4 linked regions of the Rhinolophus ferrumequinum genome follow. The protein of the gene in region 1 interacts with the protein of each later gene in a biochemical or structural test. Links are inferred from orthologs where the notes say so. Each region holds a gene or a part of one and is shown in the gene's direction. Other genes may lie near its edges.

Region 1 (8,062 bases):
GAATAAATTGGATCATAAACAAAAATGGGCTATCAGGTTGTGAAGCAGAGTATGGAAGGAATTTTCTCAGGGATCAAGGGAGAGTACGCAGGCATGATTCCATAAAGGAAGTGGAGATGGTGTGAAAAAGAGTTAGCATTTCCCTCACAGATAGACCTCTACTTCTCAAGGTTCCAAAAGTAAGTCAACAAGCAACCTCTGGGGGCCTGAAGGTTAGCTTAGCAAGATCCTGAAATACTTAGTTGAAATTTCATTTCTTTTTCATTTCATCTGATGTTAAAGATGTGTATGGGAGAAATTTTGATTCCTTCTTCCTCTTCACCCTCGCACCAGGACATCTTGTATCCCTATTTAGACCAACTTGCTAAAAAGCTCCGAGAATGTGGTGCATGCCTTGCTTACCAGGATTTCAAAGAGCCATTTTATTCAACGTCTTTAATAAGGGATCGAACCTAGCATTCCACAGTTCTTAAAAAAGAATCAAATGTATGAACCCGTAGGAAAAGTGACTTAAATTTATATCATAGATATTAAAAGACTGCTATAAGGCTTGTTTCAACAGCCGGTTGTCATGGAAGGGAAGTAAAGGGAGTACAACTCAGTATGAGAAGGTAGAACATAAACATCTAAGTATTTTCAATCCTGCCTTGGGCTAGTCTGATCCTGGAAGCAAGTCCCCACTGTAACATTCTAAAATGAGTGAGCAATCAAATAACTCTCACCTGACTGACTGTCTGGCTGAGAATATAGGTAGTGGTCTATCTAGTTTATCAAGGACCCGCCCAGGTAAATGCCAGACACATGCAATAGAGGGTGTTTGCCAACCCATTTAAAATTGATGAAGTACCTGCTTGCCAACTGGGGCATCCCTGCTCAGCCTTCTGTTCATATGCCAACCCCCAGTCTCAGTGCTTTATCACTAACCCAGCATTACAATTTTACAGGAGCAGGTAGTCAATAAGCACTTAATCAGTGTGCATTTACATAGGGACTCAGGAGTTTTACATTTCCAGCCTCCCTCCTGCTCCTCTCTCAGTCTGTTCTCTAACTTCCCCTCAGATATCCAGGAGGTCTCCACTTCCTCCTCTTCGCTATTCACCTTGAATCCACTGTCCATCCTGTATATGGAATAATCCCCCAAAAGATGCTCCACCTGTTATTCAGGAAACAGTGCCAAACGTACAATGATCATATTTGCAAACCTAAACTTTGGCACACGTGCTCTCACCAGTAGAAGTTTACTCAGTAGGTAATAGGAAGTAATATTTGAAATCAAGACTGTCCCTGGCTATCCAAAATATATGGTTGTTGAAGCTCGTAGAAGACAAGGAGGATGGTGGTCTGTGTCATAATCCGCCAGGGCCCTACCTGTGATCCGGTCCAACCTATTTCTCTGATCTCTAATCTCTCTCTTCCTCCCATGAGTTGCCCCAGCCACTCTGACCTCCTTTTGGTCCCTTGAACCAGACAAGCTTGGTTCTGTCTCAGGTTCTTTGCACTGGCGTTTCCTTCTCCCTGGGACCCTCTTCTTTAGATCTTCCTTAGACCCCCCCCCTCTTCTTATCATCCATGCCCCAAGATCTCCTTGTCTCAGCCCCAAGATCTCCTTCTCACAAAGCCTTTCCTCAACAGTTATTAATCCCCCAGGTGCCCCTTGCTCCTAGTCACTCCAAATCCTATTACTGTGTTTTACTTTCTTCCCAGAATTTACTTCTCCTCGAAAGTATTTTACGTTTGCAGTCTTTCTTCACCTCCACCCTCCCACCCACTACGATGGCACCTCGCGGGGCACTTCTTCGCCAGTTTGTCTGCTCCCATATATGGCACCTAGAACAGTGCCTGGTGCCTGAGACATGGTAGTAGATGTAGGACACTTTGTGGAATGAGTGGATGAACACTGCCGCTCCTGCCACGCACTGTGGCTCACTCATGTGGAGCTGAGGATTGTGTGACCTGCTTTTGGAAGTCTAAGTTCACCCAAACATCTGTAGGAAAATGCACTTCCCACGGGAAAGGAACACACACCAGAGAACCCCAATTTTGCCTGGGTGGGAAATGGGAGCCAAAAGTTCAGGACAGAAGGAGGAAACAAAACAGAAGATGAAACTAAGCAAAAGAAATCTGGTAAAAAAAAAAAAAAAAAAAAAGGAGGGGGGCTTCAGATGTAATGTGTGGAATACTGAAGGTGGGCTGTTAGTCATGGCAACACAGTTGTGGCTTTGTCGCAAACTCCTGATGTGGCTTGCCTCCAATCTGCCATTGTTCTACTCTGAGCTTCAAATGCCACTCTTCTACGATGAGAAAGCTGGAAGTCTCTTCAACCCTTTCCAGTGACCATTCTTCCTAAGGGGAGACCTAGGAGAGTATAATCTGGCCTGACTGTGAGGATTACAGGGCTGCAGTGCAGTAGTCCCACCCAGAACTAAGAAATGAGTTCAGTAAGGTTTACCTTTGAGAGTCAGCATGAATAATCAGAGGCCAGGTATGCAGAGCCAGCTATCTGAGGGATAAGATTGGATTTCTAGGCCTTGAAGACCATAGCAGTAGCCAGTTTCAACATATGAACATGTCTGAAGGGGAAAAAAATGCATCAATTAGGGAAGGGCAGGGTGTTCTCTAACCTTGGAAAGAAGGCGAGGCCAGACCAAAAGCTGGCAGGACCCTTCTATGTGTGGTCTAGGAGAAGGGCCTTCCCGCTCTGGGCTTCCCTCCCAGTGGAAAGTCTGGCCTCAGGGCAAGATGGACACTGTAGCTAACAGGCTGTGAGTATTTTCAGAAAAATGTAGGGCAATGGTTGAGTCCAGACTCTTTATAGTTGACTTCGAATCCTGACTGCCATTTACTAGTCCCATGACTAGTGCTACATGAAACAGTTTTTAAATGAGTCTCTCTACTTTTCCACCTCTAAAATGGGAGTGATGATAACAGTAAGTATCCCCCCAAATTTCTGGAGGGTTAAGTTAGTATGTATAAAGCATGTAGAATAGGGGCTGTTATTATAATAATTCCATTGGCAAAGCCATCTCTATCACGCATGCCTCAGGCCTAATGGTGTTAAATATATGTCTTCCCTCCTTCTGAAGCCACTTTGAACAGCAACCTACTCCTTCCCGCGAAGCTTTGCTTACACAGAAAAAGAAAACAATAACAAAAACATGCTTATTACAAGATTCTGAGAAATTCCCATCGGAGAGCCTGCAATATCTTACGGCAGACTGGTAAATTATTTCTAGTTTTGCCTGGGGCCTCCCACTTTGCTTGACCACAGAGACAAAAGATACAGGTGCGATGCAAATGGAGGATTTTGCATCTGTACAGGAGCAGATCTGTTTTGATTTCTAAATCGTCATACTGGCATTCTAATGCTTCTCTCCACCTTAGTGTGCTTGGGTTAGAACACAGACCCTCAGGCTCTGATCTCAGCGATGTATGTGAGTCCTCAGTGCCTAAAGCAGAGGGAAGTGCCAACTGGTTTTCCCACGGGACAGTGGGACCACCTATGTCAGCTCCCTCTCTGATCCTGCTCACAGCAGCTGCTGTCCCTACCATGGGCACCTTCACATGAAAGAAAGAGCTTTTGGAAAACTGGTAGGTTAAAAATAAGAAAAGGAGGACACTGCAACTAGAAGCATGAATCCAAGGGTTCCCAGCGACCTGTCTACAGTGACTTTTCCTCCTCCTCCTCCTCCTCAAAAATAAATAAATAAATAAATAAATAAATAAATAAATAAATAAATAAAATTGTCCAAATGTTCTCATTTCATTCTGTGACTCTGCCTGGAATACCAACCACCCATTAGGGATTTGTTTGAGTTGTAAACCTTCCTCAGTGAAAAGTGTGAGTCGTTCAAGAAGACTTAGAGAACTTCCAATGATACAAATCAGTGGAAATGTGTTCAATATTTCTTTTCTCTGACACCTTGCTGGATTGGGTTTACCTTCAGGAATTTCATAGATTTTTGAGTTGTTTTTGGAGAGAGGGGAGGAAAATGTGGAAAGGGGAGGTAACCGAGAACATGAAATACTTGGAGAGGCCCATCAGTACTGCTGAGGGTTGGGGGAGAACTTGAGAAGTTCAAGGACCAGGAGGATTCTGGGAGGACTATGACATGGGTTATGTTGGCATTTCCGGATTGACCCGGGAAGGTAACCAACAATTATAATATTGTTCCCTGGGACACAGGCAGCTTGAACTCCAACTAAGCAACTTGTAAAGGAACTTTTGAGGATACAATCCGTTGCAACTGAGTTCCTAAATGGTGGGCTTCCTAGAGAAAATCTTGGGAAGAAAGACCCAGGAAGCATTTGAGAAAAAATATAGGTTGAGAAGCATAGAGCATATAATGAGCTGGAAGAACATTTGTCCCTGGGGTCTGGGGCAGGCAGCTACCTGCTGAAAACCCTGACCAGCAGAGACTCCTCTCCAGAGAGCTGGCGGAAAGAGGTCCTACATTTAAAGAGAGGGAGTTTGGGACCACTCGAGTTATGCTGACGTTTCTTTCATCCTGGGTTCTTGGGACAGCTTTCTCTCCCCCCTCTCAGAGAACTCTGGGCCTCCGTCTGAGTCTACTGAGAGTCTTGCGGTAGGAAGTGACAGGTAAGAAAGAACTCAGCAGAAGCCAAGCCTTGGTTTGAGGAAACTGGAGTGAGAAGACCTGGGTCTAGATACAATCTGGGGATTAGGACTAAAAGACAATTCAACGGGGTGAGTGAAAGGGAAAGTGGCTCAGGAGCATCCAGTAAGGGGACCATGGCAGGGACACACAGACCCAGCAAAGGTGCGGTGTGGGAACCCGCCGCAAAGGGAGAGTCAAGATGCGAGTGCTGGGGCGGTGTGGACGGAAAGCCCTAGGGAAGCTGTCCCTGCAGCGACGGGAACTCCGAGGAGGGAGGCGGGGAGGGTCTGAGCCTGCGGGCGGCGTGTGACCGCCGAGGCTGCGGCAGCTGGAACAGGTGAGCGGCGGGTCCCCGCCCTTCCCCTTCGCGGCGAGCGTGCCTCCTACCGGCTCTCCTCCGCGCTTCGCCGTGCCGCGCTGCCCTGGGTTTGGGGTTTTGCAACTGGCAGCTGGCTTTTTTTTCCCTCCCCTCCCCTGTTTCTGTCTCTCCTTCTTTTAGATTGCTCCACCCCGCCCAGGATCAGGCGAGGGGGGAACCAGCTGGGCTGCGGCTGCCAACTCGCGCCCGGCGCGGCAGCGAACTCCGGGAGTGGAGTCCCGCGTCCTGCCTTTTCCCCTCGGAGCGCGCTCTCCTCGCGCCCCCGGGCCCCGCGGCTCCCCCACGCAACCCTTCCCCACTTTTCCCCCCTTTTGCAATCACATGGCATTTTAAGAATGCCGGAAAGATGGCGGTAGCGGCGGCGGCGGCGGCAGCGGCGGCCGGGCTGGCCAGCGGGGGAGGCGGCCGGGCACAGCGCAGCGGGCTGCTGGAAGTTTTGGTGCGGGATCGCTGGCACAAAGTTCTGGTGAACTTGAGTGAGGACGCCCTGGTTCTGAGCTGCGAGGAGGGCGCTGCGGCGTACAACGGCATCGGGACCGCCACCAATGGCTCGTTCTGCAGGGGCACCGGGCACCCGGGCGCGGGCAGCTCGCAGCCCCCGGACTCACCGGCCGGGGTCCGCACCGCGTTCACCGACCTGCCAGAGCAGGTGCCGGAGTCCATCTCGAACCAGAAGCGTGGCGTGAAGGTGCTGAAGCAGGAGCTGGGAGGCCTGGGCATCAGCATCAAGGGTGGCAAGGAGAACAAGATGCCCATCCTCATCAGCAAGATCTTCAAGGGGCTGGCGGCGGACCAGACCCAAGCCCTGTACGTGGGCGACGCCATCCTGTCGGTGAACGGAGCCGACCTGCGGGACGCCACCCACGACGAGGCAGTGCAGGCGCTGAAGCGCGCTGGCAAGGAAGTGATGCTGGAAGGTAAGGGGTTAACGCCGCGCGCGGGCCGCGCCAGGCGCGCACACCCACTCACCCTCCCACAGCGCTGCTCGCACTCTCACCCACGTGCTGGGGTGTCGGAGGTGGCACGGAGTTTTGACAACTTTTACCCACCTGGGGGTAACTTGTCCCCACCCTAGAGTCGTTACAGGCTTTGACCCAGGAGAGGTGTGTGAAAAGGCGAAGCCAGCAGGGTGTCTTGAACTCCTACTATGTGCCAAGCACGGGGTAGTCTGCTAAGTGCGCACCGTCTCATTTTTATCTGCAGATAAGCCAAGTGTAGTGTAGGGGCTGGGAAGTGGAACTGGAAATGAACTGTAGACGTAGAGAGTCATCATATCCACTGTACGAAGCGAACTCACTGAGTAATCGCAACTCGGATAGTTTTTTGCTTTGTCAGAATTTCCTCCTCAGAAGCCTGGTCAACCCTCCTAAAAGGGTTGAATGGCGACGGGGCCAGAGAGAGGTGGCAGTGTTTGAATGCTCAAACTCCCACCACCCTTCTCGACTTCCCTCCTTTCCAACTGGAAACTGGGGTTATGGCTGGAGAGTTGTGCCAAGGGCTGGGAAGTGAGCTGCAGCTTTATGCAGAAGTTCACTTCTGCTGCCAGGTGTTCGGCCGGTCAGTCGGGATTCCAGGTTGCTCTGGGTGGAAAGCTGGCGAAGTGGTTTTTCTGCCTCTCTTTTCTTGGGATTTTTCCGGAGGGGTGTGAAAACAACTTTGTATTTGTAAACAGTTTCCCCTGCCTGTGAGGCATCTTAGAAACTACTCTCTTGAGAATAGTGTCCTAATTATTGAATGTGAATACAATAGGTAGTGCTTTTTGTACCTATTTGTGGTTATGTGGTGGCATGTGGAGAGAAGGGCAGTAGGGTAGTAAGCGGATAATCGGTTCTTTCCCACCACCGCTGCATTTTTCACTTGATATCTGCCTCTCTGCCACTTAACTGGCTTTGTACATACCCCTGTCAGCACTAATATTGTGTAATTATTTTATAGATTTACTCAGCTTCCCCCTAACTGTAGATTGAGCTGTCTGGGGTCTTTTATTCCGTCATGGGTCATCTCCCTTGGGCTTAGGGGCTCAGTGACAGACTTGTTGAGTGAAGGAACAAATGAACCCATACCTATTGAAATAGAATGTTCTTCTGAAATCTTGTAAACTGGTGGTTAATTTAAGTCCTAAATTAAGGACGTAAGTCAATTTTCTGTTCAACTGATGTGCTGGTATGTGAAACTGAGAAAGTTCAAAGTTGGGAAACCAACTTTGTTATGTGTGACAGCAGATATAACCTCTTGCCTATTTCCCGACCTGGAATAGGGAGGATTTCCCCTCCCTCTTATTTGCCTAAAGGATTCGTGATGTCTTCATATTTAATTGCTACCCTGGATCTAGAAAGTGGAAGGCTATTTGCTTTGGCTTGATGATTAACATAAGTAAACAGAAAAAAGTTTTCTTGACTCCAGCGTGTATTGGTTTGTGTGACAAGGGGCAGGTGAGATCTGGGGGAAGTGTAGTTTGGACTATAAACTGCTGGACACTGGTTCAGCTTGCAATATTTACTGTAAAATATCAGGGAAGACAAAGGCAGGTCATTTTTATTTCAGGCACTGCCCTTCATTATATCCCTTCTATTCGTCTGCTTGATTTCATTTTAATGAATAATGCCTTAGCAAAGAGGTAAAAAAAAAAAAAAAATCTCTCACCCAAAAAGAGGAAGAAAAGGTGACTCCCTGCAGTTGAAAATAAACAAACAAAAGACCATCAACCCGTTATGTGACTTTATTGATGTGCCACGTGAAAAGTGAGTTTTGTAAAAACCTCTAACATGACCTTTTACAACACATTGTCATATGTGGCAGGCAGCACGTCCGGGGAAGACCTCTGGGCCTTCTAGACAAGAACCAGCTGGGCTAAGGGCAGCGGTCTTATTTCCAGCCTCAGCTTGCAGAAACTGACGGCTCTTAAGAGAAGCAAGTAGAGGCCCCACTCAAAAGAGTGTCTTTTATTCTGAGCGAAGTGTTGGTCCTATTAGATGTGGTAGGAGTGATCATATGCCGTCAAATCAAACGGCAGACATCCTCTCATTTGTAGTGCGGCCTAGTACACAATTTCCCTGCTGAAGGGGCT
Region 2 (7,488 bases), on another chromosome or scaffold:
GCAGGAAGAACCTAAGAGGATACCATCCAATTTTAACCCCCAGTGTTGCTGTCGTATTTTGGGTTCCTGACGTCTTGTTTTAACTTGTTTCTATTCTAATTGTATCCGTAATCTCTTTCCCTTCAGGTGGTCTTTTCAAAGGCACTGAAAACCTTGAAGAGTGAGAAGCAATAGATTAGCTGTAAAAGCAAAAAGAGGTTTAGGAAGAGCTTTGAATTCACGGAAAGGTAACAGGGCTTTAGCTACAGCTCACTAGGAGGTCAAATCAATCTTTACTAAGTAGCTGTTTTTTAGAGCAAATGCTCTAGGTAAGGGGTGACTTCGCTAATGAAGCCCAGTAGTTTAATTTCTCCTGATAATTACATAGTGCCCTATTTTCTCTTAGGCAGACATGACTCCTGTTAAAGCCATTGAAACAGTTAGACGTGACATACATGAAAGTTATAGAGAGCAAAAGTTTATATTTAAACATTTCTGCCCTAAATCTAAAATGTTCAGATCTTTAATAGAACTTCTAATTATTGTATTAAAATCCCAAGACTAGTTGAAAAACTAGTCTTCTAGATGCAGGAATCCTGCTTTACGTACAATTTGGCTTGGAAGTAGCTTCCATCTATTCTGCATTGCCCTTTAGTGGGGACACCTCTCTCCCTTCTAGAAAATTGATCATCATCATCAACAATAGTATCAATATTCCTCCTCTTTTTCTGGATTAGGTTGTCTGATCATCAAAGGGGGACCAGCAAATTGATTTTTGAACAAAACCAAAGTGTCCATTTTGGCTAGGCTCTTCACCCTCTGAAACCAAAACTTTTGGTGGGTGCTATTCTCTGATTTATATTTCTTCAAATAAATACAAATATAAAACTCCTTTGCAAAGGAGTTTTGAATAGTGCTTGGTCTTACAGAAAATATTTATGTGGGTGAAGCTCCTAATCTCATGAGTGTTTATCAATACTATTTCACAAAATTGAAAGGATGGTTAGTAATTAAAAATGTAAATCAGATTGTAGTGGCACTTGCAAAGAATCTCAGCAAGAATATTTTAAAGAAAACATTTCCTTTAAATGAATCTATTGTGTATTTAGGAATTTCCATATGTCGATCTGCATAAACTGAGATACCCATGTATTGTACATATGCTACACTATCCCTCCTTAACACTAACACAGGAAAAAATATAACTCTGTAAATGGTTCCTGACTACTGTTTGAGACAAGAACTGCCAATTTACCCCCAGATGAGCCTCTGAGAGCTTAATTGGAGTTATTATGTACTACTAAATCATCTTTAAGGCTCTCTTCCTTTCACATTTGGCAAATGTGGTATTCTGGACTGCTCCAATCAAGCCTTTAGGTTGTTATTCCAACCAAACTGGTCCTAGGTAATGGGGAGGGAAAAACATAGTTTATTGTCTGTTAAATAAAAGTTAGCTTTTGTAGAGCATTTTCTAATTTATTAAATGCGTGTCACCTTATTTTATTTAATCTTCCTGGCAACTGTGTGAGGTGGCAATCCTATGCTGTACTCCTTATTTCATAGATGAGGGAGGCAAGGCTCAAAAAGTATAAATGAATTGCCAGGAATTACAATTGCCAAAGTCAGAACTGGAATCCAGATATTATGACTCCTATGTCAATGCCTTTTTATACAACTTGCTGAGAGGAGGGAAAGCATCATTCCCAGGGAGGAGAATATTAAAATGCATTTGTTATATTCAAAGTTAAACGGCACATTTCTTTTTAAGCCATCTTAGCCAGATTCAACAACATTTATTGGCGGGATTACTACCTGATTATATTACCTCACCCTTCCTGAACATGGGAAATTTCTATATCTCTTTATAGATCATTTCACCATCAGAAGATTGGTCTAAATCTATATTTAAAATGCTAGTCAGATGGCATGCCATCTTAAACCAGATTCTCCCAGGCTTTTAGTTACTCCTACATTCTTATAAGGAAATGTGAACCCCTGAATCTATCTCCCTACTTTCTTTCCTCGATGGATTCCTTATCGGTTTAAATATTAATAATTCACTGCGTCACCCCTATTGGATGAGTTTCTACAATATCGCCAGGCCATATGCTAGACCTGAAGAGGTGTTTAAATGTCCCATTAGATGACTTTTTTAATTTAACTGCCTGGCTAACTGTGCACAGCTATGGCTTTCAATATCCCTGGACGAATGTCTGCCATTAGCTGACATCTGACCATGGCATCCGTATGTGTGTGTGACCATGGATCGTTACACATGCACGGACTGTGTAGGGGTATGTAATTTCATTGCTTTTCCCAGCTGATTTCTACCTATAATCCAACTATTTCAGTATTCCCATGTCTTTAAAAATTCCTTTTCTCCCCAAAATGTTAAAAGGGAAAGGAAGAATGAATGGACCAAAGTAGAATGAATTCTGTAAACATTAAAAGATACTCCAAAGTAGGTGAAAAGTGTTTGTGGGCTGAATTATTTTGAGTCTGGATTCCCTACCTTGCCTTAATTTTTTTTTTTTAAGTCCTGTCTCAGTTTTTGTATTTAATTACTACACTGTTTTAAACATTTCACTTCTCACTATGTATTCTATACTACACATACTATAATAAACACTGGCTATGATCCTAACTTAGGCTTGATTTAAAATAGAAGTACTTAAGAATCTGAGCAAGAGAAAAAGCATTCTAACACGCACAAGCCACATTCTTTTCTCACGCCTTCCTCAGCCTATTGCCCTGGGCTGTAAATTGCACGGTAAAATAACCAGTTTATTTGCTGTTTTCTTGCATTCTACTGAGAAAAGCTACATTGCTGGCAGACTGACAGAAACTTTAAAAATGGAATCCAGTATATGGTATATATGTTTGGTGAATGTGTTCAGTATATAATAGTCATGTGATCCATATTTCTTTTTCAGTTGGAATCAACAGAAATGTAATGAGTGAGCTTTTTAAACTTAATGGGATGAGCTGAAATACCCCCAAGAAAAGCAAGAGGTGATTCTTGCTCTCCCTTCCCCCTAAAATACAAATAAACCATCACCTAACAACTAACTAAAAACATTTAACATTTTTAAAAGGAAAAGCAGGTTTAAAAAAAGCATCAAATATCATTTTTTTGAACCTGTGCTCAGCTAATACTTCACATATTTGATGCTTAGAAAATGTTCAAATATTTTCTTACAGACTTGATCTTAATGGGTCCCCTTTTCCCCCTCATCCATGAATTTTTATTACTCGGTGTTTTTGGCCTTGTCTTCTATAAAATGTACCATTTTCACTCACAGCTTCAGACAGCTTTGATGTTCTTAGTATAACATACTGTATGTAATGTTAGCTGTTTAAAGCTGGAGATCAGATTGTGCATAATAACATATGTAGTTTGGATTATATAAGCACTACAGGAAGAAGGGGAGACAGGGCCCTCTGTGTACAAATTTCAGATTGCTAGCTATATGCCTGTTTCGAATATTAAGCACTCCTAACTAGGCAGTGATGAAGTTATTTCTTTCGTGACTGTGACTTCTGAAACTCTGAAGACATTTTTTCAACTAAACAGAATCTAAAGACGATTCCAGTAATTAACGTATTTACTTTATGTGTTTTTCTACTTACTACTTAGGGAGCTCTGAGGATAGAGAGGAAAAAATGAATTTCACTGTCTTCAAAACCCAATTTAACTACGCGATTTCATCAAAAACTTGGTGAATATAGCTTAGAAAAGCCAAAGACAGAATGTGATACAAATTGTCGATTTCTGCCATTATACATTTTACCAATTATAAAGAAGTCTGAGGCAGGGAATCAGACCAGTCTATTTCTCCGGGATTGTTTCTTTTATATCTCAATATTTCAGATTAGTTAAAACTACCATGGAGTTTCTCTTTTTTTCTTTTGTTTGTGTCATTCTTTCATCATTAAGGTTGCTGTCTGGCTTTTTCATCTATTGTTGAAAGATTGCTAACTTTTATGCATTTCAAGAGAAGTTAAATAAAACATATTACAGTATTTTTCAGCAATGAGACATTTCAGAGTGAAGAAATAAGTCAAAGGTTTTTCTGGTTTAATAAATTGATATTTTACTTTAAATGTTTCTGTCTTGCTTTGTTTCAGGAGAACTTCAATGCTGCTGATATGTTTACTGCTCAAATATCAGTGCAGAAATAATCAGGCCTTTGAAACATGGGTGAAAAATCCAGCAAATTTCAGCATCTTTTATTTATGTAGAGCGATTAGTGTGGCATTTTGCTTCCTGCCCCTTTTCATAAGAACTTTAGGTATGGACACTCCCCTCCCCGGATATCTTTACATTGGGAAGCTCTGCGTGAGGTTGAAGTTTTTATGGGGGAACTTGTTTAAAACAGTTGTCTTTAAAGGCGGGTTTGCCACAGCAAGGTTAGAGGTTGCCAATAAATCCATTTATAGCAACTTCTGTATTCCCAGTTACAGACACACCGTTGGGGTGACTCCTGCACAAGTCCCGCAGGCCACACAAGGCACAGCAGTCCTGGTTGATCCTTCGGTGACCAAGGCCGGTCTGGTCTGGTCTAAAGGGCTTTGGGTGTGGAGTGGGCTGAGCTCCCCAGCCTGAATAGGAATCCCAGGCTGCCTGGGATTCCTAGGAGAAGCCAGCGAAACCAGGACTCCTGAAACAGTAGGCCCTATCCCGGATCTCGGTCTACTGGGGAATAACAAAACATTTTGGGAACTTGGGAATTTCACTCACTCCTACCAGCCAAAACAATAATAGCATCTTTGTATTCTCCCGGCTCCATACCTACTCCTCCCGCGGATAAAAGCCCGTCGTTAGCCTTCGGTAGATGTAGCACAGACAGCACAGGGCCAGCCTGGAGCTGTCAGAGGAGGCTGTAGACACCGGGCCCCGGGGACGCCAGGGCAATCTCCGGTCCCTAAACGTCCCCAATTCGCTCTGGCGAAAGAAAGACACAGCAAGCAGGCGAGATGCTCCTTACACCTTCCATTATCTTAGCACATTGTTGCACAGAAAGTGAGTGTGTGTTTTTTTTTTGTGTGTGTGTGTGTGTGTGTGTGTGTGTAGTTAAGTGAGGCAGAGAAAATTCAAGACAAGTCACACAAGTCACCTTAAAGAATCCACCAAAACTTCAGCTTTGTTAATTGCTCCCATATGTCCTTCTCGGTTGTTTTTAAAAAGCAGCAAGGAGGGGAGGCCGGGTCACTTCACTGATTTTAAAGAGATTGAAAAAAAAGACTATCACCCATCTTGATCCAGTCCGGGAGTGACTCAAGCTCAGACTCGAGGGACTAGCCCCCTTGAGGAAAGCTGGAGACCTGGCCGGGAGAGACGGAGCAGGGGGGCGCCGGGCCTGAACCCCGCGGAAAGTTCGAGCGCCGCGATCCAACGGGTCCCGGGAGCCCCGGCAGCCCAGGGCGGGGAGGGGTGCGGGAGGCGCTGCCCGGGCCCGCGCGCGAGAGGAAGGTGCCTTCGGGAACACGCGCAAGGGCGGGGATTCGGGCTGCCAATGAGGCCCTGGTGTGGGCCGTGCGAGGCGGGGGGACGGGCGGGATCGCAGCCTTTGCTGTGGCAGCTGCAGCAGCAGCGGCCGCTTCGGAAGCGGGAGGAGAGGCAGCCGCGGAGCGCCGAGCTGGCCGCACCCGGAGGCCCAGCCCTGGGGGTGGGGAATCGCGCCGAGGAGCTGGAAACTTTCCCAGCAGGTAACTCCCGCCGCCCTGGCGCCGCAGCAGGCCTCTGTGCGCCCGGGGCACGGCCAGATGCAGCGGAGCAGAGGGGAGGAGAGGGTCCCGGGGAGGAGGAGAGGGTGATGGGGAGAGTGGAAAGGCATGTGGGAAAGTTTCTGGATCCTCCCCCGCCCCCCACTGGGTACACTGAGGAGCTTTCCGGGGATAGGAACAGACATGTTGGGCACCCCGGGCCTTGGTCCTGGCGTCTCTGGAGAGTCTGCGCCTTCCCTTCGCCATCCCCTCCTAGCTGTACCGAACCGGCCCCGGCGGAGCTGGGATTCGAGGGCACCCAGGACGCACAATCCCCCGGCCTCCTCGCCCCCTTTCTCGCCTCCTCTGTAGCCCTCGGGCTTGGCAAGGGCTTGGGCTACGCCTGGTACCTGGGGCGGGGGAGGCGAGGGAGAGGCGCTCCCAGCACCGCGGGGTCCAGGGTGACCTCCGAGTGTAGGGGAGCACGGATCGCGAAGTTGCTGGGTGAACTTAAGCCAGAGGAGGGTGATGTCGTAATACCCCAGTCTGGGCTGAAAGTCTATTGCTTCGCTTGGAAGAACATTGCAATGAGCATATCTATGTTCCTTTGGTGGTGGGGGGTGAGCCAGGTAGGATTAGGTATTGAGGGAGAGCTGAGAAAGACGAGAATTGTATCAAGATTGTAAATCCCCCCGTTCTTTGGAGAGTGGTCACTTTGAGGGTACTTATGTCAGGGCGCACCGTCTTCCTGAAGGACTTTGGGGTGCAGGCGAACAATGCTGGGGGTGTGCGGGGCTCCCGGCTTTGGCGCGGCAGCTTTCCGGAACGGCTGGCTAGGAAGGAAGCCCTAAGCATTGTGTGTTGTGTTTGCAGGCAGAAATGTCTCAGGACAAGCGTTCTCAAAACTTACTTGACTTATTGTACAAGGCTCCGGGAGGAAATGCGGCGGTGGCCAGGTAGAAATCAGGCGCCGCGGCCAGGGGGTCGGAGACGCGGGGCTGAGAGACTGTCGTAGTCTTCGCCTCTGAACTGCCTCCAGGCCACTCTCGGCAGCCCCAGATCCCCATGCCTGGAGTGATGGGACTCGTCTCGGTAGCGCTGTCCCCTGTTGGAGTCAACTCGGAGAGGTTAGGAGGGCACCTTCATCTTGAACTTGACCCGAGTTGCAGCGCCGTCTGGGCGGGTTACAAGGTAAAGAGAAGCTGAATCTTCCCGTGGGATGGGCCTCCAGCTCTGGCACAGGGAGGAAGTGCCTGGTTCAAGATCTTTTGAGGAAAGGGCTTAGGATCGCTGAGGTCCCTAGCTCTGGAAATACCAGACCACCAGACTGCAGACGTTAATAATGTGTTTGAAGGCGGTGGGAATGGGAGAGGAAAAGAGAAACCTGGTTTGTTGGTACAGAGAGTTGGTGTTTCTCTGTGGTGGAAATGAAGGGAGTCTGCATCTCTGCTTTCACCAGATCGGCTGCTCGCTCTGTTTTTCCTTCCTGGGTCATCTTTATTCCTGCCAGGCTGGCACTCCTGGGATGGGGGGAGGGGAAGGAGAAGAAAGCAGTTGTGAAGCTTCTCTGGCTAGCTTGGAGGTCTTCCCATGCCTGGATTTAACAGCTGCTTCTTGATTGCTGGGAATGAAAGAATTTATGAGGGACTGAGAGATGTTCATTATAGTAGCAGTAGGAATGTTTTACTCATTTAAGCTACTTAAGGATCTCACGAGGGACCTTCTCTAGAGTATGCCGTTTTCTGCAAAGTTTGTGTCAGCCAGAATGCTTGGTGATTGTCAGTCAGAATGCATGGTAAATCT
Region 3 (7,240 bases), on another chromosome or scaffold:
TGAGATTCATTCATGTCATTGCATGTTATCAGTAGTCCGTTCCTTTATATTGCTGAGTAATATAACGTTGTTTGAATATACCACAATTTGATTATGCACTCACTTTTTGATGGACATTTGGGTGTTTCTAGTTTTTGGCTACCATGAATAAAGTTCCTGTGAACATTTATATGCAAGTCTTTGTGTAGACATATGTTTTCATCTCCACTGGGTAACCATCCAAGGAGCGAAATACCTATAAGTAAGACTATGGAAAGTATATGAGAAAGTGTCAAACTCTTCCAAATATGTCACACCATTTATATCCCCACCAACAGTGTATAAGCATCCTGTTGCTCTGTATCCTGGCTACCACTTGTTAATGCTAACCTTTCCATTTAAACTAACTGGGTTTATAGTAGCATCTCATTGTTTTAATTTGCATTTCTTGATCACTAATGACACTGAGTATCTTTTCATGTGCTTATTGGCCATCTATCTATAATCTTCTTTTGTGAAGTGTTATTTTCAAGGCCCATTTCAAAACCATAGTTGTTTGTCTTTTTTATTGTTGATTGTAGCAGTTCTATTTAGCATCCGGATTCGCGTACTTTGTCATGGGTTGTGTATTACAAATCTGATCACAGCCTGTGGTTTGCCTTTTCATTTCCTAATGGTGTCTTTTGGTGAGCAGAAGCTTTTCATTTTGATGAAATGCAGTGTATCACTTTTTATTTTATTGTTAATGCTTTATGGGTCACGTTTAACAAAATCTTTGATTACGACAACATCAAGAAGATATTTTCCTATGATTTTTCTCAAGAAATGTTAGGGTTTTTGCATTTACATTTAGGCCTATGATCTTATGAAGGTATTTCTATTTACTTCTTACATAAAAATCTGTCAGAGACATGAACAATTTGTTTCACAAAACATCTCTTTGTGAAAATAATGGCATGCAAAACATATGTCCTAAAAATAAGTTATTCAGAGTGTCCTATTGAGTTGCAATCCTGTATCGGTAAGCAAGTGATTTAGAAAATCAGCTGTCTTTCAGTCTGTTGCTAATTATTATAGAACTCGCTTTGTAATAACATGGGAAAGTGTATCTGGCTGAATTCAGTTTTGCTAACAAAAGAATGTGCGGTCTTCTACATCCATTTCTTTGACACAGATGCATTTTGCAATTCGAAGTAATTTCTTATCAATGGCATATTGTTTCTAGAAGTCACTATGGTTTTGGAAATGTCTACCCTCAGTGTCTATAAAGAACAACTCATCAGCCTTTTTCTTTTCTGAGTGGCACGCGGTGAACTGTCCAAGAGGTGCTGAGGGTGGTCTGTGTCAGCATCAAGGCCACCAGTTACAGATCATCTCCATCTTGATTTCCAAGCAGAAACTGCAGGAAAGTTCAGTTGGCAGATGGAAATGTTTCCCTCCCTTCCTCTTTTTTCCATTCATCAAACATCTGAAGGCACCTCTGGTGTCCTGGGGTAGTACACGTCATTAGAGGAGCACCAAGGATGCTTCTTGACCATTCAATATAGTTTTCTTATTAATGTTTACCTACATGAAATCTGTGAATAAATAGCTTTATCAGTCAAAGTTCTCTAGAGACACAGAACCAATAGGATATATTTGCATATATGTGTGTGTGTGTACACACACCCACACTCGCCCCCACACACACACAAAAGAAATTTATTCTAAGGACTTGCCCCACAAAATTGTGGGGCCTGGCAAGTCTGAAATCTGTAGGGCAGTCTGGCAGGCTGGAAACTCAGGCAGGAGTTGATGTTGTAGTCTTAAGTTCTAAGTGTATAGGGTAAGCCACCAGTCTAGAAATTCAGGCAAGATTTCTCTGTTAACAGTCTTAAGGCAGAATTCCTTATGCTCCAGGAAACCTCAGTTTTTGCTCTTAAGGCCTTCAACTGATTGGATAAGACCCACCCACAGTACAGAGTGTAATCTCCTTTACTTAAAGACAACTGATTGTAGATGTTAATACCATCTACAGAATACCTTCACTAAGTTAGTATTTGACCAACCAAGCAACCGTAGCCTAGACAAGTTGACGCATAAAATTTAATCATCACAATAATATTTGGCAGATTCTTGACTATTAGGTCATTTGGAACCAAAATATTTTACAATAAAGCCCAATTTTTTCAAAAGCAATATAATTTATCAGAAATCTTGTCATAGAGGATTGCATGCATTCAAAGCTTTGTATAATGAAAATATTGTTGCTTACTTGAAAGTAAACAATGTCTACCATAGGCATACAGTAGTGGCTTCGTTTCTATAGAAATGGTAAAGGGGGCGTAGGGTCCTTTCACTTAGATCCAGGTAGCAAATACACTTAGCAGTGAATACCCCAAGCCTTATCGTTTCTTCTGGAAATAAAGCTTAAGTGTTGAAACTGATAAAAACCAGACTGTTCTGTGTTGGAGCTAGAGCTCATTCTGCCCTTGCCTCTCTCCCGGAGCCCCAAAGGCTTTTCAAACTCCATCTTGTCTGTGAAACCACCAATGTTTCATCTTACACAAACTTTCTACAGGGATAATACCACCCTGTGGGTGGCTGGAAGCTGCTAGGCCTCCCTCCTGGGCTCCTTTCTCTACCCTTACCCCGTCAGATCAGAGACTTTATCCAATCTCATGGTTTTGGATACTATCTGTATGCTGATGACTTGCAAATTTATTATTCCAGCCTAGACTTTTCTGCAGCCCCCGCAGGCTCAAACTTATGATGTTGCTATTTGATTGTCTAAAGGGCATCTAACCATTCTGGTACCCAGTTCCTGGGGAGGGGGAGGGAGACGGGGGTTGGCTACACCACCAAGCAATTCTCTGAGAAACTATGTTTTTTAAATGGGACTTGAAAATACACTTCACAAAAGTTTATAGGTAGATGGCCAATAAGACCATGAAAAGTCGTACAATTTCAGAGTATTTAGAAACTTACAGCAATTAGAGACATTGCGTGTCTTTTCATTCTAATAATTTTTTGAAAGACTTGTATTTTGAATGTGTTTTTTATTTCATGTTTTCTAGTGATTCATTGTTGTTGTATTTACAAAGGTCTTGTTTTGGACATTTTTAAACATTTTGTTTTTCACCACAGAAGTTTGAGAGACACTATTCTACAGCAAGAGGCTGACAAACGACAGCACTTGGACTGGCTGCCTGGTTTTGCAAATAAAGTTTTATCGGCACACAGCCATACCCATTTATTTCTGTACTATCTATGGCTGCTTTTACATTACAGAGGCAGAGTTGAGTAGTTGTGACAGAGATCATTTGTCCCACTAAGCGGGAAACATCCACTATCTCACCCATTATGGGAAAAATTGGCTGACCCCTGTTCTGCTCTGTCTCCCCAGCTGGATTGAGCTCCAGTGGCTCACAGTGATAACGTGCTTGCTGACATACCTTCTATCACGTTCTTTCCCCTCCCTGTCACATTTTCTCATTCCTTGCCAGGGTTTCCTAGATCTCCCAAATGAACACCTTGTACTCACATTCTTGACCCAAAGTCCACTTCTGGGGGAACCCAACCAATGTGCACATGATGTCCTTATTTTTCTAATCCCAGGCCAAAATGCTAGCAGAGTAGGAACCACTTTCTAGTGTCCACCTCAGCACGGCAGTTAAACTATCACACGTATATCAATTATAATTAAAAATAAATAAAAAATAGTATCAAAAGAAAGTGCAAAAAAAAAAAAAAAGCTATCACACTGCACCCCTCCCCACTGTCCCGGGTCTTCTGCAACACCCTGTGAAAATTCAACTCTGTGGGCATGAATTTTTCTGATTCATTTGCTCTCACCACGGGTGCTGGAGGAGAGGATAAAGAGGAGGGTGAGGAAAGAAAATCCCCTCTTGCCCTACATAGGATACTCCCTTGTGACATTAGCAGCCTGCTTGGAGTCAATCCCCAGGTGTCCATGCACCTGAGTAGAGGCCAGTTGTTTTCAGCCTCAGAGGACGTGCCCAAGTCATTGCCCACCCTCACTTTGTCACTGCTGCTTTCATTTGTCTCTGCCTGCTCCTCCTAATTACTTGGGTCATTCCAGATTTTAATTCTGTCTTCTAAAGTGTAACACCGCCATAATTAGGCCATATGTTAATTAGCAAGATGACGTCTTGTCACTCGTGAGAGATGTGGATCATCCCAGAAAGTGCCATAGAAAGGGGAGTGAAGCGGGAAGAGGAAGTCTGAGGAGGCTGCAAGTAACTCTGCTAAGCCCAAACTGACTAGAGAACAGGAGAAAATGGCGGGATGCAAGAAGGGGAGAGGATGGGGTCACACAAAGAAAAAGGGCTAGAATTGACCTCTTTTGCACTCCAGGAATGAGATGGAAGCCAGGAGGCATGTCTGATGCCAAGAAGCCACCAGGGATGGCAGAATCTTCTGAAGGACAGGAGGTGGACAGGGCTGAGGTCAAGGTGAGTGTCAGGCATACTCCCAACTCTGATCCTAGATGCCTGTGGCGATGCTGTTCAAAACGCAAGGCTAAACTCGGCCTCTATGGCCACTCTAAGTGTCCTCCAGGAAATCTGAAGGAGTAGGGTTCTGGTAGCCTGGGGACTGTTTCTATCTGCTATTTGTTAACTGAATGTTGGCTCCCCGTTTTCTGTTAACTGAACTTATTTTCTGACATTCTTGGGATAAGAAAGTTGGAAAGAGGATTGGGCAGGATATGATAATTTCCTATTTCAGATAGTGTCACTTTATCACTCGGGAGACAATTTTCCAGGAAACTGATTACTCAGGGAATTCATGATGGGGTGCAATGACGTGAATTGTAAAGATATTAACCTCCTTGCAGTCTGCTGTCAAAACATGATGTGATGAGAATTTGTTCTGTCATCACCCAACTAATGGATGAAAGGGGCTAGGATAGTTGTTTTACGTCGTGTATTTGCCTGCATTTCAAAAGGCATTTGACACAGGAACTCTCAATGCATACCAAAGGGGAAATTTTGAAGGTAAAGTTTGTGTTAATGATAATATTAGTAAGTATTATTATTGTCATTGCTGATATTTGTTGAGTTCCTAGTATATTTTAAACCTGTACAGGCATTGCTTCTAACACGTCTGACAACCCTTCAGGGAAAGTCTTATGATCCCCATTTAATTTCAGGTTCACAGACATTGAATCGTACTCAAAGATCACACTGTCAGATGAGTGAAAACTGAAATCCATGTTTGTTTGTTTGTTTTTCTTGAAATCTAATGTTTGAGCTCTTGTCAGTAGACCAGGGTCACTATACTTTTTCTGTAAGGGGCCAGATAGTAAATATTTTCAGTTTGCCAGCCAGATGGTGTATGTTGTGACTATTCAGTTCTGCCGCTGTAGTGCATAGGCAGGCAGAGACAATACCTAAATGAATGAGTGTGGCTATGTTCCAATAAAACTTTATTTACAGACACTAAAATTTGTTTTTAATATATTTTTCACATGTCATGAATTATTATTGTTCTTCGGAACTTTTTCCTGTTTAAAAATGGTAAAATCATTCTCATGGGCTGTACAAAAACAGGTGGCAGACCCGGTTTGGCCTGCGGGCTGTAGTTTGCTGACCCCTGTACTATAGGAAACTGTCTATCTAACAATGACTTAGGAAAATAATGATGCGAAAGCAACTGAGCTACATATTTTACGTAAGGGAGCCAAGTCAGCTACAGGAAAACGTATCAGCCCTGAAGCTGTAACAAACAATAGTTCTCATTCTGGCTCTCCCATCACAAGAAGTGTATAAATTTAGGTCCATCTCAAAAGCTTCTGAGTCTTCCTCTCATCTCCCAGAGATAGATCCCTACAGTTCCATCATTCTTTGATTCTAGTCATAGTATGCATGCATCGAATGATTTCCATAAAATCAGAATTCGAATCTGAGACAATTCCTTGGATGGTGCCAGATTTCAATCTCCAGTCCTGCCTTTTCTCCCAACTCCAGGTTCTTATATGCAAGTGTCTCCACTTACTGTTAGGTGCCTCGAACTTCACTTGTTCACAAGCAAACTCTTGCCCACAAACATGTGAACAAGTGAAGTTTGAGGCACCTAACAGACATAAGTGGAGACAGTTGCATATAAGAACCTGGGGTGGGGAGAAAAAGCAGGACTAGAGATTGAAATTTGGGAGTCATCAACATGTGGATTGAATCTGGGTATATGATAGCATTGAATAAAATCTTTTAGGGCAAACTTTCCATTGGCATTTGGGGTCAGATAATTGTTTGTTGCGGGGCAACAAAAGGCTGAGGATGGTCCCCAAGGACTCCAACTGTGGAGGTCAGAAAGAGGAGGAAGAAATAGGAAAAGACACTGAAAAGGAGTGGCCAGTGAAACAAGAGAAAAACTCAGATGTGGGGTCCCAGCGTCCCAACTGTTTGGGCTGGACTTGGCTTGATAGTTGATGAAAGGCAGAGCGTTACAAGAAGTAATGGTCCATAGCTCGGGGCTGAGCCGCAGTGAACTCCACCATATTTCCTTTATGGGAATCTCCCCGCCCCAGTGGCAGGACGGGCACATGAAGCATTGAGGGCATACATTTTCTAACTGCATGGAGCCTGAAGATAGCGAAACGGACAGTGTTTTCTAGTGGGGAATTAAACGAAATCGGAGGTTACAAGTAACATTTAGAAACCAAAGGTAGAGACATGTTTCTTCTTGTTTTATTTTTAGAAATAATTCCTGGAGGATAAATATTGTTTGGGTTCAGAAGAAAAACAAGAGCAGAAATAGAGTTGCTATGGTTTTGAGGGAATGCAAAAGGGACTTCCGACCTGGAGCTTTTGCCATTCTGGGCTGCAGGGTGGATCCTCTTTGCTGTGTGATCTCTTCACTCACTTCATGCCTCATGGTAGTTAACAACAACCAAAAAAGTGAACAGATTGTGAACTTTCTCTTTATACGTCTAAAACCTGAAGAGCTATGACTTATTAAAGGTACAATATAAAGGTTAAGACAACCAACTCCTCATATGGAAATTAATGACATTACACAAGAGTATCTCTAGCCACAGGCCTGATACCGAAGGACCAAAAGGAGAGGGAAATGCTTTGTCTTCTATTGTTAAGTCTTCTCACTCCAAAATGGAAATAATCCATTTATCTCATGAGATTATTATGTAAAAGTGCCTAACAGTGCTCAGGGCATAGTTGGGCTTTCATCAATGTTTAGAAATAATAACAACGCGTATCCTGGTTATGGTGATCATTATGCCCGTCTACACATGCAATAAAAT
Region 4 (8,153 bases), on another chromosome or scaffold:
ACCGGGTAGGTGCCGCGGGTGAGGGTCGGGCCCCTGCAGGACCCGCGCTGCGCTTGCTGCGCTCACAGCCCGCCGTCCTGCAGGACCTGAAGCCCAGCAACGTGGCAGTGAACGAGGACTGCGAGCTCAGGGTGAGCCCTGGAGGGGGCGGGGCAGAGGGGCGGGGCTTCCGGGAGGCGCTGACCCCAGGCGCTTGCTCTAGATCCTGGACTTCGGGCTGGCGCGCCAGGCTGACGAGGAGATGACCGGCTACGTGGCCACGCGCTGGTACCGCGCACCTGAGATCATGCTCAACTGGATGCACTACAACCAGACGGGTGACGTCAACTCATGGGGCTGCCTGTGGCTTGGGACCAGGGTGGGCAGGCTGAGCTCATGCCAGGGCCTAGGGGATGGGGGTGGGGAGCCCAAAGCCAACTAAGTGGAGGTGTTCCAGTCGTGGGGGACTGCAAGGTCTGGGAGCAGGCCTTTCAGAAACAGGCCTTCAGAGGAGCAGAGTATGGTGCGTCTTGCCCAGGGCTGTGTCTAGAGGAGGAAGGGACCCGGGTACGATTTGGGAACTGGACTGGCGCCGTCTAGGCAGCCCCCCAGTCCTCTGAGGAGGGACCTGGGGTGGACAGGCTGATGGAGACCCCTTCCCCAGCAGTGGACATCTGGTCTGTGGGCTGCATCATGGCTGAGCTGCTCCAAGGAAAAGCCCTTTTCCCAGGAAATGACTGTATCCTTGGCGCAGGTTGGGGAGGAGGGTTGAGCCAGTGTCCCTTCCTGCGGGATGGGGGACAAGGGAGGTGGGCTCTTTCTGGCTAGTCTTGCTTCCTGTGTCCCATGCCGTGCCATCGTGGGCTCATGGTCCCCAGCTGTAGGAGAGCAGGTTCTGGGCAGTGCCCCAAGATCTGGGATCTGGCGGCCTGGCAGTGGGCATTTCCTGAGCCAGGCAGACATCGACCAGCTGAAGCGTATCATGGAAGTGGTGGGCACACCGAGCCCTGAGGTTCTGGCAAAGATATCCTCCGAACATGTGAGTCCTCTGGAGGCAGGGCGGTGGGGGCATGCACCAGACACCATGTGGGGAGCGTGGGCCACGTGGAATGGAACCTAAGGCGGCAGCCTGACTCCTTCGGGGGGAGCAGGTGGACATGAGGGGCAGCGAGGGCAAAATTGCAGCACTGACAACAGTGCCCTGGCCAAGGCACTGGGAGTGAGATGCTGGAGCCACCAGAGGCAAAGGAGGTGGTCTCTGCTCCATGCAGGTCCCTGCCCAGGCCTGTTGGACTGCATGAGAGTGGGGCTTTCTCTCAACGAGCCCCTGCCTAGTTTGGGGCCAGGGTAAATAGGGTGTGAGCAGCCCCCTCAGGCCCTTCCATGTGCCCACAGGCCCGGACATACATCCAGTCCCTGCCCCCCATGCCCCAGAAGGACCTCAGGAGCATCTTCTGTGGAGCCAACCCCCTGGGTGAGGATGGGCCCTGGGTCTGGGCTGGGCTCCACGTCTGGCCCTGGATGCAGAGCTGCCCTCCAGCCCCTGCCTTCCCCTGACCACTCTGCAGCTGTGGACCTCCTGGGAAGGATGCTGGTGCTGGACAGTGACCAGAGGGTCAGTGCAGCCGATGCCCTGGCCCACGCCTACTTCAGCCAGTACCATGACCCGGATGATGAGCCCGAGGCCGAGCCCTACGATGAAAGCGTTGAAGCAAAGGACCGCACTGTGGAGGAGTGGAAGGGTGGGCAGGGGGGCCGGGCGGGGGTGGGAGAGGTGAAACCCAGGGCCTGAGGGCTGCCTTCCCGTGGAGGCCTGTGCGGGAAGTGCCTTAGCTCCTCAGGGTGGTCTGGGAGGGGCACAACGTGGCCCCCAGCTCTGGGGTGGGGCGGTTAGAGATGGGGTTGGTGTGTCCAGAAGAGGCCGGGGAAGCATGGGGCAGGCTCTGGAAGGCCCGTGGACTGAGGGTGGTGGGCCTGGCTGGGTGACTGGCACCAGACAAGCAGATGCGCAGTGCTGAGCTGCTGGAAGCATGAGTTCAGCTTTCCCCTCACTCCCCTCCAGAGCTCACCTACCAGGAAGTCCTCAGCTTTAAGCCCCCAGAGCCACCACAGCAGCCGTCTGGCAGTCTGGAGATTGAGCAGTGACAGGAACACTGCCGGCCAGCCACACTGGAACTCAAGGAGGGGACTGCACCTGCCTGCCCCCCTTCCTCAGCCTGCCGGGTTCCCACAGGGGTGCCTCCCAGCACCACTGTGGCTGGCAGCCTTGACCCGTGGCCTGGGACCCCTGGTCAGCACGATGCTCCAGGTGGGATGCTGCATGTGTGCCAGCCGTGGGTGCAGGAGTCTGGGCCGAGCATGCCGGCCCTCCTTGGTCCTCCTGCCCCCTCCCTTGGAGCCTCACTGTGGGGGGGCCTGGATGCCTAGGGAATCCCCCTGGGGAGTGTGTCTGTCTCCAGGTCTCCTCAGTCCGTGGGTTACCTTTAGGGGGTGGTGCATTGGAGTCAGGGTACTCTGAAGACTCAAAAGAGGAGGGGTCTCAGTGGTCAGAGCTGCTCAGCCTGGGAAATGCTGAGATCCAAAGCCGTCGTTGCTGGGCAGGGTCTCCCCTGGAGGGTGTCAGGGCAGGGACAGCCACCAAGTGTCGAATCAGAAAATCCGCCTGGAGTCGTGTTTCCCTGTGCTGTGTGGTACAAATGCACTAATGTGTGTCCTGGTATTTACATGTCAAGGTGTGTGCAGGCATGTGTGAGTCTGTGGGTGCCTGAGGGCTAGTGGCCATGACCAGCTGGAGGCTCAAGTTGGGGTGGCTATATTTGCCTCCCCCCAGTTTCTGATGTCATGGGGGATTTGCTGAGATCCTGCTGTGCACCCTGTGAGGGGCTCAGGTGAGCAAGGTGCAGCCATGCTAGCAAAAGCTGGGGCGTTCTCCTTGAGTTTCTGAGGCATGAGGGCACGGTGCCAGCTGGGGAGCTAGCGAGCACGGGAGGGGCCGGGGGGACGCTAAGGGGGCTGGCACACATCGAGGTGGACCTGGACTCGGACCCTGGACCTTGGCCCAGAGCTGATGAAGACACCTCTGCCTGTTCTCAGAGCTGAGGTGCTCTGGTCTGCGGGTCGGCCCTCATCCTTCCCGCCAGAATGGAGCTGACCTAGTCACCTCTGGGACAGGACCCTGCTCCAAACGCATTGGGGCTGTGGGTCCTCCCTCGAGGGACTTCTGTGTCAGATGGTGCTGTCAGGTGGTGACCTCGCAGGACCCAGGGAGGTCTGAGTGTCAAGGGCACGCACCAGGCTCTCGCAATAAAGGAAGTTCCCCCTCGTTCAGCTGTGTCCCAGGCTTCAAGAGCTGCCCTGCTGCCCCCACTGCCCGAAGGGGTGGCCAGGTCTCTGCATCACACACCCACCTGGCCTGGCCTGCACCCACAAGAGGCCTGCACTGGCCAGATCACTTGGGTACCCAGATCTTCAGCACCCTCTGTGCTTTACCCAGCCAGGGGCCCTGAGGGGCAGAGTGTGATGGCCTCCCACACCCGAGCCTGCTGCCCTGCTGGGGGTTCATTGGACAGGCTCAGCGCCTGGTCCAGATCCAGACTGCCCCTTCACTCAGTGGTCAGGGAGGCGGCCGGGCACGAAGGCCTGCCCTGCCTGGAGCTGGGTGGGGTGGAGGAAATAGCCTTCCTTCCTAGTTAAGGGGAAAGAGGATCATTTCAGCTCTCCAGATGCACACTGAGCTACTGGCCTCTACTGCTCACTGCAGCTCAGGTGGGGGAGGGCCTGGGCCCCAATGGGCGTCAGGCAGGGTGTCTCCACGGCAGGGACATTCTGTGTCCTTACCCTGGGCTTTAGAGGTGGAAACCATCTGGGAGTTGGACCTCTAGGGGCCTGGTCAGCAGGACTACTGGGCTTCAGATCTTGGGGAACCTGGAGATCAAGCTGGGCCAAGTCTTGTGTGTGTGGGGTGGGGGATGGCAGCAGGGCTGAGATGCCCCACCTGGGGGTCTGGTCTGAATGGGAACCCTGCTGGGCCGCACCAGAGAGTAAGGGGGCCAGGTGGGAGCTTCCTGGCCGAGGCAGGTGGAGTGCCACAGGCAGCCCAGGACATGAGGGCATGGGGTACAGTTGGTTGTGGCTCCAGTAACCCCAGGCTGTCCCCACTGGCTAGTCTCCAGCTCCTGAGTGCTCAGAATCGCCAGCCAGTCGGCAGACCAGGTGTAAAGCTGGCTGGCTGGGCTTGAGCTGCTGATTCATGGTGGCTGGCTGGGCACAGAGGGCGGGGCAGGGGCCCCGGGGTCCTGTAACCCCGCTCCCTCTCAGACCTGGGTCACTGGGCTGGGAGAGGATGTGGGAAGGGGCTGGGGGCTCTATCCTTCAAAAGTGGCTGGTCCAGGATGGGGACGTGACCTGGCTCATGAAAGGATGGTGCCCCATGGAGGAGTAGCGAGGTGCTGAGAGCCAGGGTAGGGCCCTGCTTCACCCCTGGGGTCAGGCACACCTTCCCCAGCGAACGGAGAGGCTGGAGCAGGGCTCTGAAGGACAAACGGGGCAGTAAGCTGTGTGTGGGGGGAGCAGGCAGAGGAACTTGGAAGTGCTTGGAGCAGGCTCCCACCTGCCAAACTGAGGAGAAGCAAAGAGCACTGGCAGTGCACAGGTCCACACGCTCCAGCTCCAGGGTTTGGGAGGCCTGGGGTCAGTGGTCACCGGGAAGGGTGTTGGGGATGCAGCCTAAGTGCGGGAGGCAGAACCAACTACCCACCTTGGGAAGGGGCACCCATACTGGGGGATGGACGGATCAGCACAGGGAAGGGGGCCTCCTGGGGGTGGGGATTTGACTTTGGGAACACAGCGCTCAGCTAAGGGGGGGGTCGGATGGGGGGTGGGCAGTGACCTGGCTGGGGACAGAAGTCCTGTGGGCTCAGCGCCCTGGGGACAGGGCTAGTAAGACCGGGGCCCCTGCTAAGACACCCCACGCGCAGGCGGGGGAGTTCAGCCCGACTGAGGAGGCGGCGGGTCTCAGACGCCGCGTCCGGTCCGAGGTTGGGCTGAGCTGCGGGCGGCGCTCCCCCCACCACCCCCTCCCGCCTTCCCGGCGGCCGCCGCCTCGGGTTTCCGGAGAGGCTGGAGGGCGGGCGGGGGTATCACGTGCGCGCGGCCCTGGGGCCGGTTGGTCCGCAGGCAGGGGAGGAACAGGGCGCTACCCAGGCAAGGTTGGGGTCGGGCCGGGGTCGGCGGCTCAAGCGAACCGGAGGAAAGAACCCGGAGCGGAGTAAACGCGCGGTGGCCCCGGGCGCTCGCCCAGGGAGTCCCGCCGATCCCGGCCCGGTGCTCGGGCGCGGCGCCCGAGGGGTCTGCGGCGGGGCCGGCACCCGGTCCGGCCATGAGCTCTCCGCCGCCCGCCCGCAGGGGCTTTTACCGCCAGGAGGTGACCAAGACCACCTGGGAGGTGCGCGTGGTGTACCAGGACCTGCAGCCCGTGGGCTCCGGCGCCTACGGCGCCGTCTGGTGAGCGCAAGCCGGGCGGGGTGGCCGGCCGTGTGGCCGGCCAGTTGGCGGGTATCCGGGCGGGTTGGCCCGACCCTCCCGCTAAGCCGTGCGTCCCGCAGCTCGGCCGTGGACAGCCGCACAGGCGCCAAAGTGGCCATCAAGAAGCTGTACCGGCCCTTCCAATCGGAGCTGTTCGCCAAGCGCGCCTATCGAGAGCTGCGTCTCCTCAAGCACATGCGCCACGAGAACGTGAGTCGCGCTGGGCCTCCGCTCTGGACACCCGTCCATCGCCTCTGCTCGTCTTCCTGCCCCAAAACTCCAGGTCCCACCTACCCGGACCCCCTGTGTGGTGCCGCGTAGGTGGGGGTCAGGGCAGCCTCTGGAGAAGGGTGGGGGCTGCAGGTGGTGAGGGCAGAGCCCACCTCTTTCTGAGAGACTTCCCTGGGGTCTAGTCCTCTCCTCCCAGGCCAGTCTTTGGGAAGGTGCCTCTGCTTCTTCCTGGGGTCACGTCTGTCTCCGCAGCCCAGGCCCTGGTGAGGGGATGGACGCTTGTCCAGGCTGAGGCCATTGTCCAGGTCTCACCCCAAATTCTGTGGAGCTATTTTCCTGGAAGGGACACCCCCGCAGCCTCACCCAGATGCTCTCCTGAACTCACCGTGCTCCAGTCCATCTCCTGAGCAGCAGCCCCAGGACCTGGGGTCCCTGGGAATGCAGAGCTAGGCATGGAATTGGAGTCAGCATCCTGGCTCTGTCACCTCAGAGCCTTGGGGTCTCCGGTGGTGGAGGACACTGGGCCAGTGGCCAGCACACAGATGCTTCCTTCACAGCTCTGGCTGGGGTTTTGTGGACAGTGTGGAGGGCTGGACCTGGGCCCCCACCTGGGAAAGTCCCCCACCCCCATGCTTCCAGACCTGTCCATGGGACACCACACATGTCTGCCATGGGCCTCTCTGGTGCCATTGCTGGCTGCTAAGAGCCTTCCTCTGCCATGGGATTTCTCCTTGCTTCCCCCAGGGGATGAGAACTCTGCCCACCCCCACTCCCCAAGCCACTCCTGCCTCATGCCCAGTCTGGGCCGTCTGAGGGCTTGTGGTCTGGGCACCCAGGCCCTGGCTAATCATGCTCCTGACATATGGTCTGGCCCCTCCTGGGTCATTGGAGCCCACAGCCTCCCCTCGGGATGAGGAGTCCCCAGGAAACTTGTCCCCTGGGTTTCTGGCTGATGCCTACCCTCTTAGCCCCTTGGGTAGGTCCTTCATTCTCCCAAGTTTCCCATCACCACCCTTGGCTCTTCCCAGGTGACATCCACTCGTGGTGGACACCAGCGCAGCCTGGGCTTTATTACATCCTGGTCACGCCTGTGCCTTGACCCCTTCCTCTACCAGGCTTCATTTGGCTTTCCCCCCCGCCCCCCCGCACACACACTCCCACCACCCATCCTGCCCGTCCCAAGGGCTCTGGACTTTGTGTTCAGTCATCTGTGCTGGGGCCGCCCCCATTGTGCCAAGGGTCTTACCATCCCTGTGGAGCTCCTGACCTGCCCAAACTGGACATTGCCATGTCCTGAGCACCCTGCACACAAGCTGGGAGGCGCCGCCTATCGTGAGCCCATTTTCCTTGGAGGACACTGAGGCTCTGAGAGGCTGACTGCAGTGGTGGTGGGGACTCACATGTCCCGCTCCTGCCCCTCCCCCCCACTCCGGCTGCCATCTCTACCTCAGAGGCACAGAAGTCTCCATTAACCTGATGGCCCCTTAATCTCAGGGACTCTGTCCTCTGTCCTCTTCTTGCTCAAACACTCTCCCAGTGCCCCAGGCCTCACCTCTCTGGGTGTCCTGCTCTGCTCCCTCCTCCCCGCTTGCTCATGGCTCTGGCCCTGGTGGTCATCTAGCTGTCCCTTCACCTCATGTCCACTCTCGCCTCACTCCGGTCTGTCCCCACATTCAACATAATGCCTGTTTAAACCCTTTCTTGGCGGCTGTAGGACCAAACCCAAACCTCCACCTGGCATGTGAGGGCTTGCTTAGGCTCCCTCTGATCTCTGCGTGGTGACTCCCTGGCCTGGCCCTCGGCCACCTGGCCTTCCTCACCATGTTTCTCAGATGCTCCAAGTGTTCTCCATCCTGCCTCCGCTACCATTCACATTGCCTCTGCCAGGTGTCCCTGCCACCCATGGCTCACCAGCGTGCTCCTTCGGCTACTCGGATATGCAGGCCTCACTGGGTCCTTGGACACCCTGTCACCCTGAGCCCTGGGCTCCCATTGTCACATTACCTGTCTGCTGTCCCTCAGTCCTGACCAGGGGTCTGCAGGACCAGGTCTGACTGTTGGTTTGGTCATAGTGCTGCCTGCCTGGGCCTCTCCAGCAGAGGCACAGCCCTGAGAAGTACCTGCCGGATGTTTGCTCTCCCCTGGGAGGCTGTCCCCATCCTGGTCCTAGGTCTTCAATGGGGACAGGAAGAAGGGGAGGAAGGGCCAAGGAACTGGAGCTCCTTGGACGGCTGGGAGCTGATCCAGATTAGGGGGCCGCCCCTCCCCTGAGGATCCCGGCTGTCACTGTCCCAAAATAGCCTGGCAGGTGTGCCAGGGCCACGTCAGTGCTGCCAGTAGGTAGAGCCAGGCCCTGCGCACAGTGGGGAGCGATGGGGACAGCTGCAGGGGGCTTTTCTGCCCAGAGCACCGTGCCAGAC

What was found.
Region 2: the proteins of SNTB1 (region 1) and TANC1 interact in a test that uses a peptide from one of them, tested with the Homo sapiens proteins (2 studies listed by IntAct, with this or other methods). The link is inferred for Rhinolophus ferrumequinum from reciprocal best matches to the Homo sapiens genes SNTB1 and TANC1.
Region 3: the proteins of SNTB1 (region 1) and FRMPD4 interact in a test that uses a peptide from one of them, tested with the Homo sapiens proteins (2 studies listed by IntAct, with this or other methods). The link is inferred for Rhinolophus ferrumequinum from reciprocal best matches to the Homo sapiens genes SNTB1 and FRMPD4.
Region 4: the proteins of SNTB1 (region 1) and MAPK12 interact in a test that uses a peptide from one of them, tested with the Homo sapiens proteins (2 studies listed by IntAct, with this or other methods). The link is inferred for Rhinolophus ferrumequinum from reciprocal best matches to the Homo sapiens genes SNTB1 and MAPK12.

Annotation. Positions count from the first base shown.
Region 1 is NC_046297.1:58,868,115-58,876,176, reverse strand, and holds the start of SNTB1 (beta-1-syntrophin), read left to right. Parts: upstream 1-5,008; 5' UTR 5,009-5,341; coding exon 5,342-5,912; intron 5,913-8,062. UniProt on the Homo sapiens protein: Adapter protein that binds to and probably organizes the subcellular localization of a variety of membrane proteins. May link various receptors to the actin cytoskeleton and the dystrophin glycoprotein complex.
Region 2 is NC_046291.1:63,164,538-63,172,025, reverse strand, and holds the start of TANC1 (protein TANC1), read left to right. Parts: upstream 1-4,313; 5' UTR 4,314-5,688; intron 5,689-7,488. UniProt on the Homo sapiens protein: May be a scaffold component in the postsynaptic density.
Region 3 is NC_046284.1:117,977,021-117,984,260, reverse strand, and holds the start of FRMPD4 (FERM and PDZ domain-containing protein 4), read left to right. Parts: upstream 1-4,204; 5' UTR 4,205-4,433; intron 4,434-7,240. UniProt on the Homo sapiens protein: Positive regulator of dendritic spine morphogenesis and density. Required for the maintenance of excitatory synaptic transmission. Binds phosphatidylinositol 4,5-bisphosphate.
Region 4 is NC_046293.1:438,916-447,068, forward strand, and holds the start of MAPK12 (mitogen-activated protein kinase 12), read left to right. Parts: upstream 1-5,046; 5' UTR 5,047-5,356; coding exon 5,357-5,481; intron 5,482-5,582; coding exon 5,583-5,712; intron 5,713-8,153. Other genes in the region: MAPK11 (mitogen-activated protein kinase 11), read left to right, coding at 1-131, 203-317, 644-718, 939-1,018, 1,375-1,453, 1,548-1,721, 2,042-2,124. UniProt on the Homo sapiens protein: Serine/threonine kinase which acts as an essential component of the MAP kinase signal transduction pathway.